Linked DNA regions of Diceros bicornis minor. The protein of the gene in region 1 purifies or fractionates together with the protein of each later gene. This does not show direct contact. Links are inferred from orthologs where the notes say so. Each region holds a gene or a part of one and is shown on either strand. Other genes may lie near its edges.

Region 1 (6,954 bases):
ACAACAAGAAACAGCCAGAAGGGGGAAGCGTGTGCAACGATTACTGACAAAACAGAATCACCAAAGACCAACCTTTGAGATTAAAACTATAACTGGAACAGGAAATATTTCTCATGCTTCAAGTTCCTGCCGTACACAAGAACAGAGGTTTTCACAAAGAATTATCTGCTCCTCCTCACCCCAAGTCACTGGAACTCATGGCCATGTGTGAGGATCAAGCTTTATGAAGCGAGAGAGGGGAGGAAAGTACTGGGTTGAGTAAATAGCAACAAACTTATCAGGAATATTGGACCCTATAAACAAAGAGATCAGGAAAAAATCATATCCACTTGCCCAAGGAAAAACCAGTGAATTCTCTTCCACTGATTGGTCCATTGAGACGCCACAAAGGAGGAAGGCCCATCGCTAACTGCCCAGAAAGTCGCCCCGTGAAGGAAGCTGAGAGAAATAAAGTGATTACGGGTTTTATCTCATATGTAATAAAGTTACCTTGAGCCCAGGATCGGGTGGGGTCACAGCAAAGACTTGTGAAGTAACAAAAGCCTCTCAAGTCGGTGCTTAGGACCGCAGACCAGCTTTGCTCAAAGTTGGAGAGATGATGGAAAAAACCACCCCCTCCGCCAGGAGTGGACAGGCTGAGAAACTTGTCTAAAGTGGTGTGACTTTGCCAATCCCTCCGGTTTGGAAGCTGCCTGGCTGAACGGGCAGGCATATATGCGAGAGCCCCGTGCACTGGTTATTACTAATCGCAAAATCCTCATGTGTTACAGCAGGCTAGGAATGAGCCAACAGCTGCTTTCTGCTTCGGTAAAGAGGCCCCATTACACTCTGCTGGACTCGAGTTCTCGTCCTTCTTCCTAGCACTGGTTTCCTGTCTGATTTTCTTCCAAAACAGGGAATTGCCTCCGCTCACATCCTGGGCTCAAAGCCCTAGTGACACAGATTATTCAATCGGGGCACTGATGTCCGGTCTGACTTCCCATCCAGGCCCCCGGGTCTGAGCAAAGCCAGGCCGCAAGACTGTAATATTTCAATGATGACTGCCACAGAAACGGCAATGAAAGGAACAGACAAGAAATCAAACGATCCCTTCCTGATTCCGGGAGGAAGGGAGGGACATTTGGGGGTTGTTGAATTGGAGAGTGAGGGAATGGGTATAAATGACTCCAACCCTTTGCCTAATGGTATTTGGATTCAATACAAACCACCAATGGGGCTGGAAAGCAAACAAAACCAAACACTTTTAGGGACAAGATTTGAAACTCATCCCGTTGGTGCTCATTACGGGGTGCACTGACTGCACCCTCAATGCACACACGAGGCTCTCTAGAGTGCGTGCTTACGGGGACACCAGAGGAAGTAGAGGAAAGACACAGAGAAGCCATTTAGGGGACTCACCAGGTATGGGGAATTACTTTGGAACAAGGTATCCCTCTTCAAATCCCAAAGAGAGCTGTGTTTCCATTTTATGCTCCAGCAGAGTCCACACCTCCCTGGAAGCCCACCCCAGCCCTTCCTGGCTGGCTGGTTTCTAGAGGCCAAGGCCACGGCCTTACCAGAGCAATTCGTGCTGCAGCCAACTTGGCTGGACACTCAGCAGATCCTGACTGAGGAGGGCTTCAGATTGTAGTGGCCCTGTGTGTTAAGCCAGCTCCCTCACAGACCTGGGGGGGACCTGCTGCAGAGGGCAGACACCCCACCAGCACCACCACCCCACCAGCACCACCACCCCACCAGCACTTTTCTGGAATTTATAGACACACAGATCGCATGCACAACCCCTCCAGTGCAAACCAGTTCGGCTGCTTTAGAAACAAGTTGTTTTTCTGCTTCCAGAACCGCCCAGGAGGTCCCTTTCTCCCACTTCTCTCTGCAGGCGTCCTTGCTTCAGGTACCCTGTACACTGAAGGCGCCCCTTCTGGTGTTAGTGCAGGCTCCTGGTCCGACCCTCACAGGAGATGTACGGGCGCAGGGCACACAGGCGCCGCCCGAGCCAATCAAGGCTGACCTCCTCCTTCCTGACCTTCGCACCTGATTCCCAGAGCGGCAACCCTCGCCCTCACTCCGGATTACTTGAAGGAGCCCAACCATGTTTCCGAGTCCTCAGCCTCTTTCAGAAATTAACTAAGACTGACGGAGAATGGGGGAAGAGAAGGAGAGAGCTTTCCCACAGGAATAGGGTCCCTGGATGTCGGGAAGAGCCAGTGGATGCAAAGATTTTTTTGCCTACCAGGGAGAGAGAGGGGAAGGGGGGCGGGATTCCTGGGAGAGAAGGTAACAGGCTCCTGGGAAGGTGGCCTGTAATTCCTGGAGCTTGTCTGGATGAGATGTAGTGTGAAGGAAAGGGTTTGTTGGCTCTTCGAGCCCACTCCCCGCTCCAGTTTAAAAAAAAAAAAAAAAAGTGGTGGCGTGGGGGTAAGAGGGGTAGGCAGGACAAGACGAAAATCCAGACTTTACAACAGTGGCACGTAGGAATTTTCTCGCCAAATCAAGAAAGGGAAAAGAAAGCAAAAGAGGCAGTGGCGGCGAGAGGAGGGCGGGGGTCCGCCAGCGCCGCCAGGTGCATTCGGGCCCCGAACCTACCTGCTGGCCGCCGCCGCCGCTGGAGTAGGACTCGGCGTGCGCAGGAGAACCGCTGCTGCCACGGGAAGAGGTGTCAAAGTTCCCGGGATAATCCTGGTACATGATCCGCGGTGGGGGCCCGAGAGGAAACAGGGTGTTTTTCTTCCCCCGCCCTCGCCGCGGCCGCGCACCGGCTGCTGCGCGCTCGCTCCCTGCCGGCCGCGCCTCGGGCTCTAGTCTTCGCTCCCGGGCTCTTTCCCCTCGGCGGCGACCGCGGACGGACCGGGAGGCGACGACACCCCGGGAACAGTGCCGCCCGAGTGCCTCGCACTGCACTTCTTTCCTGCTCTACGAGCACCGCGGGACCAGTTGTCCACCCAGTCCCTCCCTCTAAAAAGTCGGCGCGTCCCTCAGTCCCTCCCCTGCGCGCGCCCTCCCGCCCCCGCGCGCAGCCGGAGCCCAGCCGGGACCTCCGGCCCAAGCAAAAGCTGGAAATTAAAAAAAGAATAGGACCCTGGAAATTAAAAAAAGAATAGGACCCTGGCAATTTTCCCTGCCAGATCTGGGGGCCCTCGATTTCAGTCAGGACAAAAAAGGCGAAAAGAAAGGCTGCCCGCTTGGAGAAACTTCTATTTCCTCCTTTTAGAAAGGGAGCTGAGAATAAACTTCCTGTGGCCGACTCGCCGCCGGAGTTTCGGAGCGGCTCGGACACTTGTCTAAGAGAAGAGGGCAGCCTGCGCCCGTCCCGCGGCCCGTGGGGTTCAAGCTGAGCCGGCGCTGAGAGGGACGCGGCCCCGCTCCCCGTGCCGTGGCTCCGGCGCCCGGACCTGCACCCCTTCCCCGGCGCCCGCTCCCGGACGGGCCAGTCTCGCCCGTCCGCGCCTCTCTCCCCCTCTCTCTGTCCCCGCCGAGCGCCGCTCGCTTGCTCGCTGGTTCGCTCGGAGCCCCTGCGCTCAGCCCGAGATGAGTCACTACAATGGCACGAGTTCAACTCCACACTCTTTATTCTCCAGCCCCCACCATGTGGATTCACTCACGTCAACCCCAAGACTCCACCTTGCAGGGAGGAGCGCGCGGGGAGGCGGGGGGAGGAGGAGGAGGAGAAAGAGGCGCGGGAGGAGGCGGGCATAGAGCTCCTCTCCCTGCCCCGGCTCCTGGCCGCGCTGACGCCAGCCGCACACTCCGCGCGAGGAAGGAAGGCGGTGGCGGGGGTGGGAGCCGACCGCTGGCGCGGTTTGGGGGAGCCAAGGCAGCCCTGGCCCTTCCACACCCCCGCCCACCCCCCGGGCCCAGCGCCCTTGGTCTGTTCCATTGGCGCACGTTGCCAAAGATGGTCATTTGCGTTAGAGGATGCGAGTGCGGGTTCCCTTGCTTTCGGGTGACGTGGAGGGAGAGGGATTCCCTCGCCCGCTCCCGAGCGCGCCGCGGCCTCCCCAACCCCCCTGCACCGCCCTGGGAAGGGGCGCGGGGCGGGGCCCCCGAGAGCGGCCGCGCGGGCCTCGGCGCCGGGTTTTAGAAAATAATCACAGTCTTGAAGAACGAGACAGGCGGTTCAGTGCGGCGCCACCGCCAGGCCGGGAGCCGGGCGCGCAGAGCCGCTCGCAGGGAGGGCGCGGCCGCGCGCGGTCGTCGGCGCCCTGCGCGGCGCCGGCCGGTGCAGCGGCCGCCCCGGGCGCGGAGAGTTCCCGCGCCGCCCTGCGGCCGGGTCCTGGCGGGGCGCGACGCCGCTGGGCGAGGCGGGCCTGCCTGTTTTCCCTTCGGTGGCTGGCTGCCCACACTTCCCCCCCTGTTTTTTTGGCCCTACAATTAATTTGTTAGGAGTAGACTTGAAGACGAAATTAACCAGTCAAGACATTCCGGCCGCCCTCTATGCCGGGCGTTTAGGTCGCATCTAATAAGAGTAATCGGACATCATAGGCAAACTCCAGACTGTTATGTATTTTAGAAAGGGCGGGGGGTGAGGCCAGGGAGAGGGTGTGCCCCAATGTTGTTTTCAGCTGTTTTGGAGCGAAGTTCAGGGAGCAGGTAGTCCGGGCTCCTGGGTCTTCCCGCCTCGCTGGGCGGGGCGGGGCGAGGTGCGGGGTAAAGAGCACAGGCCTTGGAGTACGAACGCCAGGTTGTGCTATTCGAGCTGTGAGACTTTGGGCGAGTCCCTTAACCTCTCTGGGCCTCAGTTTCTTCCTATAAAATGAAGGGGTTCGGACAGATGACGCTCTAAGGCCCTTATCAGTTCTGGAACTTCAATCTTTCTGCAGAGATGATCCGGAGGAACACTGTACCAGGAGTCAAAGCTTGGGTTCTGGTCCAGGCTCTGCCTTAGCCTCGGTTTACCCAACTCTAAAGTAGGGTCATCTGCACCCCCACAAGGTCCTTGTGAGGACACAACGGCAAGATGAGTGAAGACTGTGAAGAGCTATGCGCTGTAACACATCACAGTTCCAGTCCTCAGTTTCCTTATCTGTAAAGTGGGGGTGTTGCTAGGCAAGAAAAATAGAGCCGGGAACTCAAAGCTTTCCCTGGGCTCTATATAAAGCGCTGGCGTTTCCGGGACGGCTGGCGGCATCTGGCCGCCCCAATGGCCCTAAAATACGGTAATCCCAAACAATACTCGGGGTCATTGTTTACAGCTATAAAACACTTTCTGTCCTGAGCTCCATCCCCAAGGACGCACGCGGCGAGGCGAGGCTGGCCAGACTGCTCGAACCTCCGCCGCCGCCCTCCGGGCAGTCTCCAACTCTGCAGACCCAGGAGAGGGGTGCGGGGCGGGCGGATGCGCACACCCGCCGCGGTGCTTGGGTTCTTTTTTTTTTCATCCCTGCGTCCTGACTGCCTGCGTGTTTACGCGCCTCTCCCAGCAGGACTGAGTAAATGCAGTCCTTTGACGCAAAACCGATCAGCCCTTTCCCCAGCGGCAGCGGCAAAACCCAGAAAACTGGGGGTGGGGACTGTGTGGGGGGGGGGAGCGCAGGAGAAGAAATCGTGACACTTTCTCACTCGCCTCTCCGTCTCCTCCTGCGCCACCCAGGCCCCCGCCGACTTAGCCAGGTCTCGCGGGTGGTGGGGGGGGATGCAAAGGTTGGCATGGCCGGGGCGTCCAGGGCCCTCCTGGGAGCAGCCGCTTGTCGAAGCGGCGCGAACAGACGCGCTTTTGGTTTTCCTTTGAGCAGCAGCGGCTGCCTGACCCTCCCCCACCCCGCCTCGAAAATCTGGGTGCTTCTGGGTCTCTCCCACACAGTCCTTCCAGTAATGCGGGGGGGAAAGGAGGAGGGGGAAAGGGAGCCGGAGCTTCCTCCGCGGCCTCCGCCGTCCCGGGCGCGCCCAGACCCGGGCGGGCGGCGCCGGGAGCGCGCGGGAGGGCGAGCGCACCCTCTCTCTCTCGTCAGCCCCCGCCCAGCCTGCTCCCCGGCCCTTTCCTTTCTTGTGGGTTCCCGTAAAGCCCGGCAGCCCCGAGACGTCTGCAGAGCATCACGGAATCCGTGCTGATGCAAGTCGATAGCCTCCCCTTGGTGCGCCCCGGCCTGCCTTGGAGCGCTTTGATCCTGGCCTTCCCCTGCTCCAGAATTTGTGCTGGCTCCCTCTGTCCGGCTGGATGCCTGCCTTTTCGCAGTCTGTCCTCACCTTTCAGTCCACGAAGCGCCAGACACACAGAGCTGCGCCCTGGTGCTTCGGGGACTGAGCGGCTGGTCCAACTGGTGCCTTGGCCGAACTGTGGCTGCCAGACCGAGAGTTCAGCCTCCAAGCCCGGTTCACTGCCGCCTCCGTGGGGAATCATTCCAGTATCACCCAGTTAGAAAGGATCCTCTGGCTCCCCAGACTAACATCTAAGAATAGAGCCAACTTTTATTGAGCGCTTACCGAGAGTCAGGCACCACGCTGAATCCTTTGCAGGGATTGTCTCATGCAATCCTCCCAACAAATGTTTGAGGTGAGTATTATTCCCTGGTTGCAGATGAAGAAAGTGAGATTAAGGAACTTGTCCAGGAGAACTGATTAGTGGGTTAGTGACCCAGTTGGAAGTGCAGCTGGGCCTGTATGACACCAGGCTGTTCCTCTTACCCGGGACACTGCATGACTGGCCTCCTACTGGAAATGTCTTTGTTTCTCTCTTATTGGTCTCCAGAAAGCATGGACTTTATCTGGTGCATGGCTTTGTCCTATATTTAGAGGTGCTCCTTAATTCTCTGCTGAACTACTCAGCTAAAGAAAGGTCAAGTCAAGTGAGGGAAGAGGAGGAGGTGAGCTGGAGTGGGAAGAAAAGGGTATCTTGGGCTGTCTTCTCATTGTCTCTCTGGGTCTCTGGGACCTCCCTGCCCTGCATTTGCCAATTTCCTCCTGTGTCCCTCCAGTCCAATGTTTGGGCCCTGACTTAAATCCCAGAACGACCGCCCACTC
Region 2 (7,173 bases), on another chromosome or scaffold:
TCAGAGATTTGGTTAGACAGCAAACAGGGCTAACAGGTAGCAAACCTTTCAGGTGAGTCAGGCAGATAAAGCTTTTTTGGCAGGATCTTTTTGGGAGATGGGTTACCAAAGTGCAAGGCTAGTTGGAGATGAAAGCCAGCAGCCTTATTTCCCTAAAATATTATATTTGGACAAGGCAACTTAGAAATATGTCTGGGAAATCCAATCCTCTTGCTAATTCCATTCTATCTTAACTCCATTAGATTTTACTTCAGTAGCAGTGTTTTGTAGGACTTTGGATTTTTTCTTGTCATTTTTGTCATTCACAGGATTAATATATTTAACAACATGATGAATTCTTTTAATTATTAGGGCTTAGTTTTTATTTTACATTTACTTTCATTTTCATTAATGTTTTCTTCTCTTCTATTTGCTACTTCTCCTGAGTTGTCTGACTTCCTTTGTGCGTATTTTGCCATGCTTCCTCTTTTCTCTTCTGCTTTCCCAGAAAATCTTGCCAGTAGAAACTAATAAGTCTAGTTGTCATCTATCATCGTTCACAAGTGCCCCTTTACCCCTTTTGCCCCACCCCCACCACTCTGGTTACCACCAATCCCTTCTCTGTATCTATGTGTTTCTAAGCTCAGGGTTCCTCTCCTCTAGGGCAATCTATGCCTCTGGTCCACATGGCCCTGTGGGAATTGGGGCTCAGTGAACTGGCCCATGAAAATGCTGATACTCTACCCACTGCTATTGCTATGAATAATCAAGTCCTTTGTTTCTGGGGGAAAAAAAAAAAGAGATAAAAATTATGTACTTTCAGAGTAGTCTTTACACATTTATCTGGTATAAAAGGGAAATTCCATCATTATCACATACCCTTAGCTTCCTTTTGTGAGTTTAGATTTCACTGAAGACAGGTTCCAAAGAGGTAATACCAGGCACTGATTTTTGATTAGGAGACTTAGCTGGGGTCCTATCACTTTCTGTCTCCTGAATAAGCTACCTGGAAGGAAGAGACTATTTTACACATTTCTCTTACACGCCCTACAATATCAATCACAGGGTTTCTCAAGGGTTCGTCACCTGCATCAGATTTGCCTGGGTGCTGGTAAGAATGCATATTCATAGGCCCTACCCCAGGCCTATAGAGTCAGAATCTCTGAAGGAAGAGCTCAGGAGCCTGCAGTTTTATTTCTCTCATGTGTTGAACCTTCTCCTGTGCCATAGCCTGAATTTTCAATCACCGCCGGGATATACTTACTTGAATGTATTTTCACCCCACACTCGCTCGACACATCCAAAACTAAACATCTGCTGGCCATCTCCAATTCTGTCATCACGCTATTATTCCTGGAGGTATCTTTGCAGTCATTCTTCTTTGTGTTCATCATTTTTACTTAACTTATTAGCCTTTCTGCTAAGCATGTGGAAAGACAGTGATGAACAAGACAGATATGGGTCATGCCCTCAAGGATTGTAAAGATTCTTTTACCAAGAGTAGTTTAATCCTCCTATTTCAAATACCAGCACGGTCACCCATGGTGGACAGGTTTCAGTGGAGTTTCCAGACTAGACAGAATAGTAAGGAGGACGTGGCCATCCACTTCCGAAAAAATTGGCTATGAAAACTCTGTGAATAGCAGTGGAGCGTTGTCTGATATAGCACTGGAAAGTGAGAGGATGGCGCAAAAAGACCAGGCAGGGTTCTGCTCTGCTAGGCACAGGGTCACTAGGAGTTGGAATCCACTTGACAGTAACACCAACAAAACTTAATCCTATAGATTCTTTTGCATTTTTCTCAGAATACTCCCTTACTTTCCTTGTCAGCACCCTAATCTAGAATCTCATCACTTATGCTTGGACTGCTATAATTTTTTCCTAATTAGTCTCTTTGCTTCTAATCTCCCACCTCTTCTGAAAGATTAATCTGCTGAAAACTTAATCTTCAAAACAACACTTTGAATATATTTTACCTCCTTATAATGCCTTCATTGTTTCCAATTGCTTATAGGCTATTTTCTAAAGTGGATTCAAGGCGCTTTACAATCTGGCCCCCAAATGAGTTTTTACTGAATAAACTCTTTTACCTTATCAATTATAGAAATCTGAACCTCATGTAAGCATTTTTTCTTACTTATTTTCTGGGCTCATGACTTTAATTACACTTTCTGTTTGACCAAGCTATACTTTTCAGTTAAGGCCTTCCTTTTTCCCCCACCAACATGGCTGGCCCTTAGCACTTGTTCTTGCTTCAGTTCCTATGGTGAGTCTCTGCTCTCATTGAGCATTTAGCATGTGCTCTAACATTACTTATCTTTTTATGTACTTTTCTAATTCTTCAATTATTTCATAAGCTTCTTGAAGTAAGAGCAACGTTTTTTATACTTCTTCATCTCTTCCTTGCCTAGTCCAGGCCTACGTGTAGCAAATGTTCAATAAATATTCATTTATTTACGCATTTTTTCATCAAAAAATTATTGAATGCCCACTGAGAACTAATATTGTTCTTTCTTTCACGGAGCTTACAGTTTAGTTGGAAAGACAGACATTAAGCAAATAATTAAAATAAAAATGAGATCAACTGCTTTATTCAGTTATTAGTCAAGAAATATTCAATAAGGACCTATCATAGGTCAGGTATTGTGTTACATGCTGGGAATACAAAGCTGAAGCTGACAGGCTAGTGGAGGAGAATCATATATACATCACTAAAACACAATGTTTTAAGTGCAAACAAAATATCCTAGGAGCACAAATGAGAGTGCAACTATCTCTGCCAAGGACTCAGTAGGGCTTCACATTTCAGTATGGCCTTGAAAGTGAATTTAAACAAGGAGTTGGATAATGTAATATTTATACAAAGAGGGTGGTTCTTGGAAATCTGATAAGCCCATTTCTATATCATTATTTTGAGCAGAAACCTGAGCTGGAAATATGAGGGTGAGCAGTTACGGCAGAGTTGAGGATGATGGCAGCCATGACAGTTCACTGCTCAGGTGAATGGCTAGGTCTTGTTGCTGGGTCTTCATCTAGGTCCTTCCCCAGCCCTGGCCCCTCAGCATGGATGGACCTTCCTAGGGAAAGGCCCTAATTGCCCCTGTAGTCTTCAATACCCGGGACAGAATTAAATCTGGCATCTCTCCCTCTAAGAATCATGGAAATGATAGAGTTGGAAAGGATACTGAAAATCACCCAATTCAGTTGTTTCTAATTTACATCCCCCAGAATCTCAAAATGGTAAATGAAAATCTGTAATCAACTTTCAATATTCCGAAAAGCCTACCAGAAATTGCACATTTTCTGGTGGTATTTACTGCCAAGTTTCCTTGTTTTGTGGTAGTATTATATCAGATCCAAATTAAACCGAGGTTCTGACGGAGCTGTGTTCTGATTAAGCATAACTTGTTTTCCCATTATTGTTATACTTAATTTGGTACAATGTCTGCAATTAACAAAGAACAACACTGACTTCATCTTAATTTACTCCTCACAATAACATGGAATGTCTTAAAAACACCAGAGCCTGAGTCCTTGACTCTCAGCCCAGCGCTCTTTTCAACTTCTGGGAGTTCCTGGGTTCTTTCCGAGTGTCCCAGTTTACAGAGCCTTCAATTCCGGATTCGGAAGCACCTGTCCTGCCGTCTCCACTGGGACACGCTGCCCATCTGTGTCGACACCGACCGCTCCCTCCTCACGTTCCGGAATGCGGCTCGCCCTCACGCATGCGTAGTACGACGACTCCGCGCCGGCGCCGCTCCTCTCCGCCTGGAGGGGGACACTGGGTAACCCGCGAGGGTAGGCGCCCAGGGCGCGCGTGCGCAGTCGCTTTTTGAGCGCTCCCCGTCTCCGCTCCCTCCCCCAAACCACTCCGCCACCTCTGCCATTCATTCCATCCTCCGCAGCCCTTTCACCCATTACGACGGCCTGCCCTCCGGTACGTCACGAACGAAAACAGGTCTCGACGAGGGCGGCTGTCGTTGCCAGGCCGCCGCGGCCGCTGAGGGCGCGCCGTTCGCGTCCGAGCGCCGCCCGGGCCGCGTCTAAAGTTGTATCCCCCGCCGCTCCCGCCCCTTCCGCCGCTCGCGCGCGCGCGCGCGCGGCCGGCCCACGGCGCGCCCGGGTTGGCTGCGGCAGCGGCCGCGGGGCCTCGAGAGCGGTAGTGGTTTCTACTCCGCTTTATTAGTTTCCTCCGCCCCCTCCCGTCGGACGCTGTTGTGTGGTTGCCTTAAAAAAATCAACTTTATTGTTCCTCAGCCCCACCTCCCGGCGCGGCGCGCGTCCTCAGGATGCACTGAGGCTGTGGGAGGGGAGGCGGCGGCGGGTCGCGGTCGCGGTCCCTCTCCTCCGAGCGCCCGGCCGGAGGGGAGGGAGTCACGATGTCCGGGAGCCGCCAGGCCGGGTCGGGCTCCGCCGGGACCAGCCCTGGCTCTTCGGCGGCCTCCTCAGTGACTTCCGCCTCCTCGTCCTTATCCTCTTCGCCGTCGCCCCCGTCCGTGGCGGCTTCGGCGGCGGCGCTGGGGTCCGGCGGGGCTGCCCAGGCCGCGGGCTCCGGCGGCCTCGGGGGCCCGGCGCGGCCTGTGTTGGTGGCGGCCGCCGTGTCGGGCAGCGGCGGCGGGAGCGGCGGCGGGGCGGTGTCCGCCGGCCTGTCCCGGCTCAGCTGCGCGGCCAGGCCCAGCGCCGGAGTCGGAGGGAGCAGCTCCAGCCTGGGCAGCGGCAGCAGGAAGCGACCTCTGCTCGCCCCCCTCTGCAACGGGCTCATCAACTCCTACGAGGACAAAAGCAACGACTTCGTCTGGTGGGTTGGAGGCCCCGCCCTCTCTCTTGCTAAATTCTGAGTTTCTGCTGGTTGGGCTGGTGGGGTCCGGCGTGAGGGGGGTCTGTTGGGTGCCTTGGCGGCGTCTGCAGAGGGATTCGAGCGTTTGCAGAGACATTCAGACGGGTGGTTGGTGGAGTGGGATGGGGGCATGTTAGAGTCCCGAGGCAGGGTCGGAGTACCAAAGAGGTAAGTGCTAGTGAGGAGGGAGTGAAGGGACTTTAGGAAATAATAAATAAGGGAGGCGAGATGGAAGGTCAAATAAATGTGCGTACAAGAAGAAAGTTGGGCAAGGAGATTGGGCCTTGAATTTCCTGGCTGTCTGGAAATTAGGCACCTGTCAGTCCGGATTGTTGAAGTGAATTAAACTTGTAAAGGGAGAGGATTAAGCTTCCTGGGATGCTGAGGGATGGAGTTGTTGGTCAGAATTTGCTTATTTAACGTATGGTAGCTGGGGCTCTAAACGGGTATGAATGTTCTAAGGAGTAGTAGTATTTAATGTAAGTATCCATCGTGTTTGTATATAAATATCTCCTCCCACTTCAAAGGGTGGGCCACTTTTAAATCTGCTGTTGAGGCTACTGTAGTCAAGAAAATCTGTTCACAAAATTTCCACTTCTCAAGTGAATGTCTTGAAAGAGGGAACCACGTTTGTTAAATATCATCCATGTGTCAGATGTAACTACTACGTTTGTGTAACGCATTGGAGTATACTGGAACCTCTGATTTGAGAAAATAGGTGTTAGACATTTTGTCATCATAGTTGGCATCTTGGATGATGCACACTAGTATTCAGTTATGATGTTTGGCATAGAGGGGTTATCCATATTAAGTGAAAGATGCAGTTGATTGTCTTGCTGAGAGTGTTTTGGGATTTTCATTGTGTTTTGTATCCAAAATCCAATCCAAGTGGTAGGCTTATGAGAAATGAATTGCTTTTAGCTGAGTGAGAACTGGTAGGGTTTTGTGCTTTTCCTCTGGAGGAAATTGTTGATAGTCTTAGAATATTAGTGATGTAGGAAGTTGGCTTGCACTGTCATTATAGGGGAAGTTGATTCACTTCAGGGTTGAAGATGATCTGAGTTGGTGTCCTTAAATATGATAGGGCTGGAAGTTGGAGCTATAGGAAAGTTATTGATTAGACAAGAGTTTATAGTTCTTGCAGTAAAAATGTCTTTATTCATATTTTTGTTTTTGTCTTAAATTATTTTGGATTCAAAATTAATTCATTTTTTTACTGAAACTGGGTTGTAATTGTAATTAGATTGTTGTTTATAAATAATTTGAGCAGCTTATGGTTGGGTCTGAGAGGGTTTGTGCCCATATTCAGGAGAGAGTACCTTATGACAAAGTAGAAGCTAATGGAACAAAGTGAGGGTTTGCAGAATTTGTCTTTTTAGCCACCATTGCATTTCAATTTTCAGTAGGCTAAAAGAAAATAAACATGCTGATATCCATATATGTACACTAAAATAATGTAAAGGATGTGAGACATAAGGGAATCAGTCATTCATTCAACAGATATTTATTTGGTGCTCAGTTTGCCGGGCACCATATGAGTTTCATTGTGCTTACTATAGGCCATTTTATAGGGAATTGGAGAGGGATGTGGAAGTGTAAGCAGCTGGCACTGATTTTTTTTTTCCTTTGGGGATGAGATTATTAAAATTTTTATTAGTTTGTCACCTAATTTTTAAAAATTTCAATCTTGTTTATGAGTCCTAATCATGTTGTTTAGATTATTCTGTTTTCTTTTGTATTCTAATGTGGAAGTGTCCAGTGAGAGTCTTTTGTTAAAAATTCTGAATATTTCACTTTTCTAAGAATCTCCTTAGTCCATTGTTTCTTTCTCTGGCGAGGTTGAATATTCAGAAGAATTCATTAATAGAAATCAATTTTCCTGATTCTCAAGCTAGATTTGATTTGGCCAAGCTTTGGAGGTAGGAAGATATGGATTAGGCAAGGCCCAAGGAATCCTTTTCATTTCTAGTTGGCTCTAGGTTGTTGATCTGGTCTTGTATGCTTCAAGGTCAAAAGATGAACCCATCCAGATTACTCTGCTTTTACATGTAAATGAGGCTAAAGTTTGAATAATGCTGATAATGTCTTATTCATCACATTTTAAAGGTATGTTTATACTTCACATTTCATTTTATCCTTAGAGCAATTCTGTGAAGTATATAGAACTTCCAAATTTTTTGTGTGTGTGTGTGAGGATGATCAGCCCTGAGCTAACATCTGCCAATCCTCCTCTTTTTGCTGAGGAAGACTGGCCCTGAGCTAACATCCACGCCCATCTTCCTTCACTTTATATGGGACACTGCCACAGCATGGCCTGACAAGGGGAGCACTGGTGCATGCCCGGGACCCGAACCCAG

The links. The genes of interacting proteins can lie anywhere in the genome.
Region 2: the proteins of FOSL2 (region 1) and COP1 purify together in Homo sapiens (affinity purification with mass spectrometry; 3 studies listed by BioGRID and IntAct, counting the BioPlex papers as one, with this or other methods). This does not show direct contact. The link is inferred for Diceros bicornis minor from reciprocal best matches to the Homo sapiens genes FOSL2 and COP1.

What each region holds. Positions count from the first base shown.
Region 1 is NC_080751.1:54,562,182-54,569,135, forward strand, and holds the start of FOSL2 (fos-related antigen 2), read right to left. Parts: upstream 3,080-6,954; 5' UTR 2,686-3,079; coding exon 2,584-2,685; intron 588-2,583; exon of another isoform or gene 490-587; intron 1-489.
Region 2 is NC_080743.1:90,436,148-90,443,320, forward strand, and holds the start of COP1 (E3 ubiquitin-protein ligase COP1), read left to right. Parts: upstream 1-4,134; 5' UTR 4,135-4,358; coding exon 4,359-4,777; intron 4,778-7,173. UniProt on the Homo sapiens protein: E3 ubiquitin-protein ligase that mediates ubiquitination and subsequent proteasomal degradation of target proteins.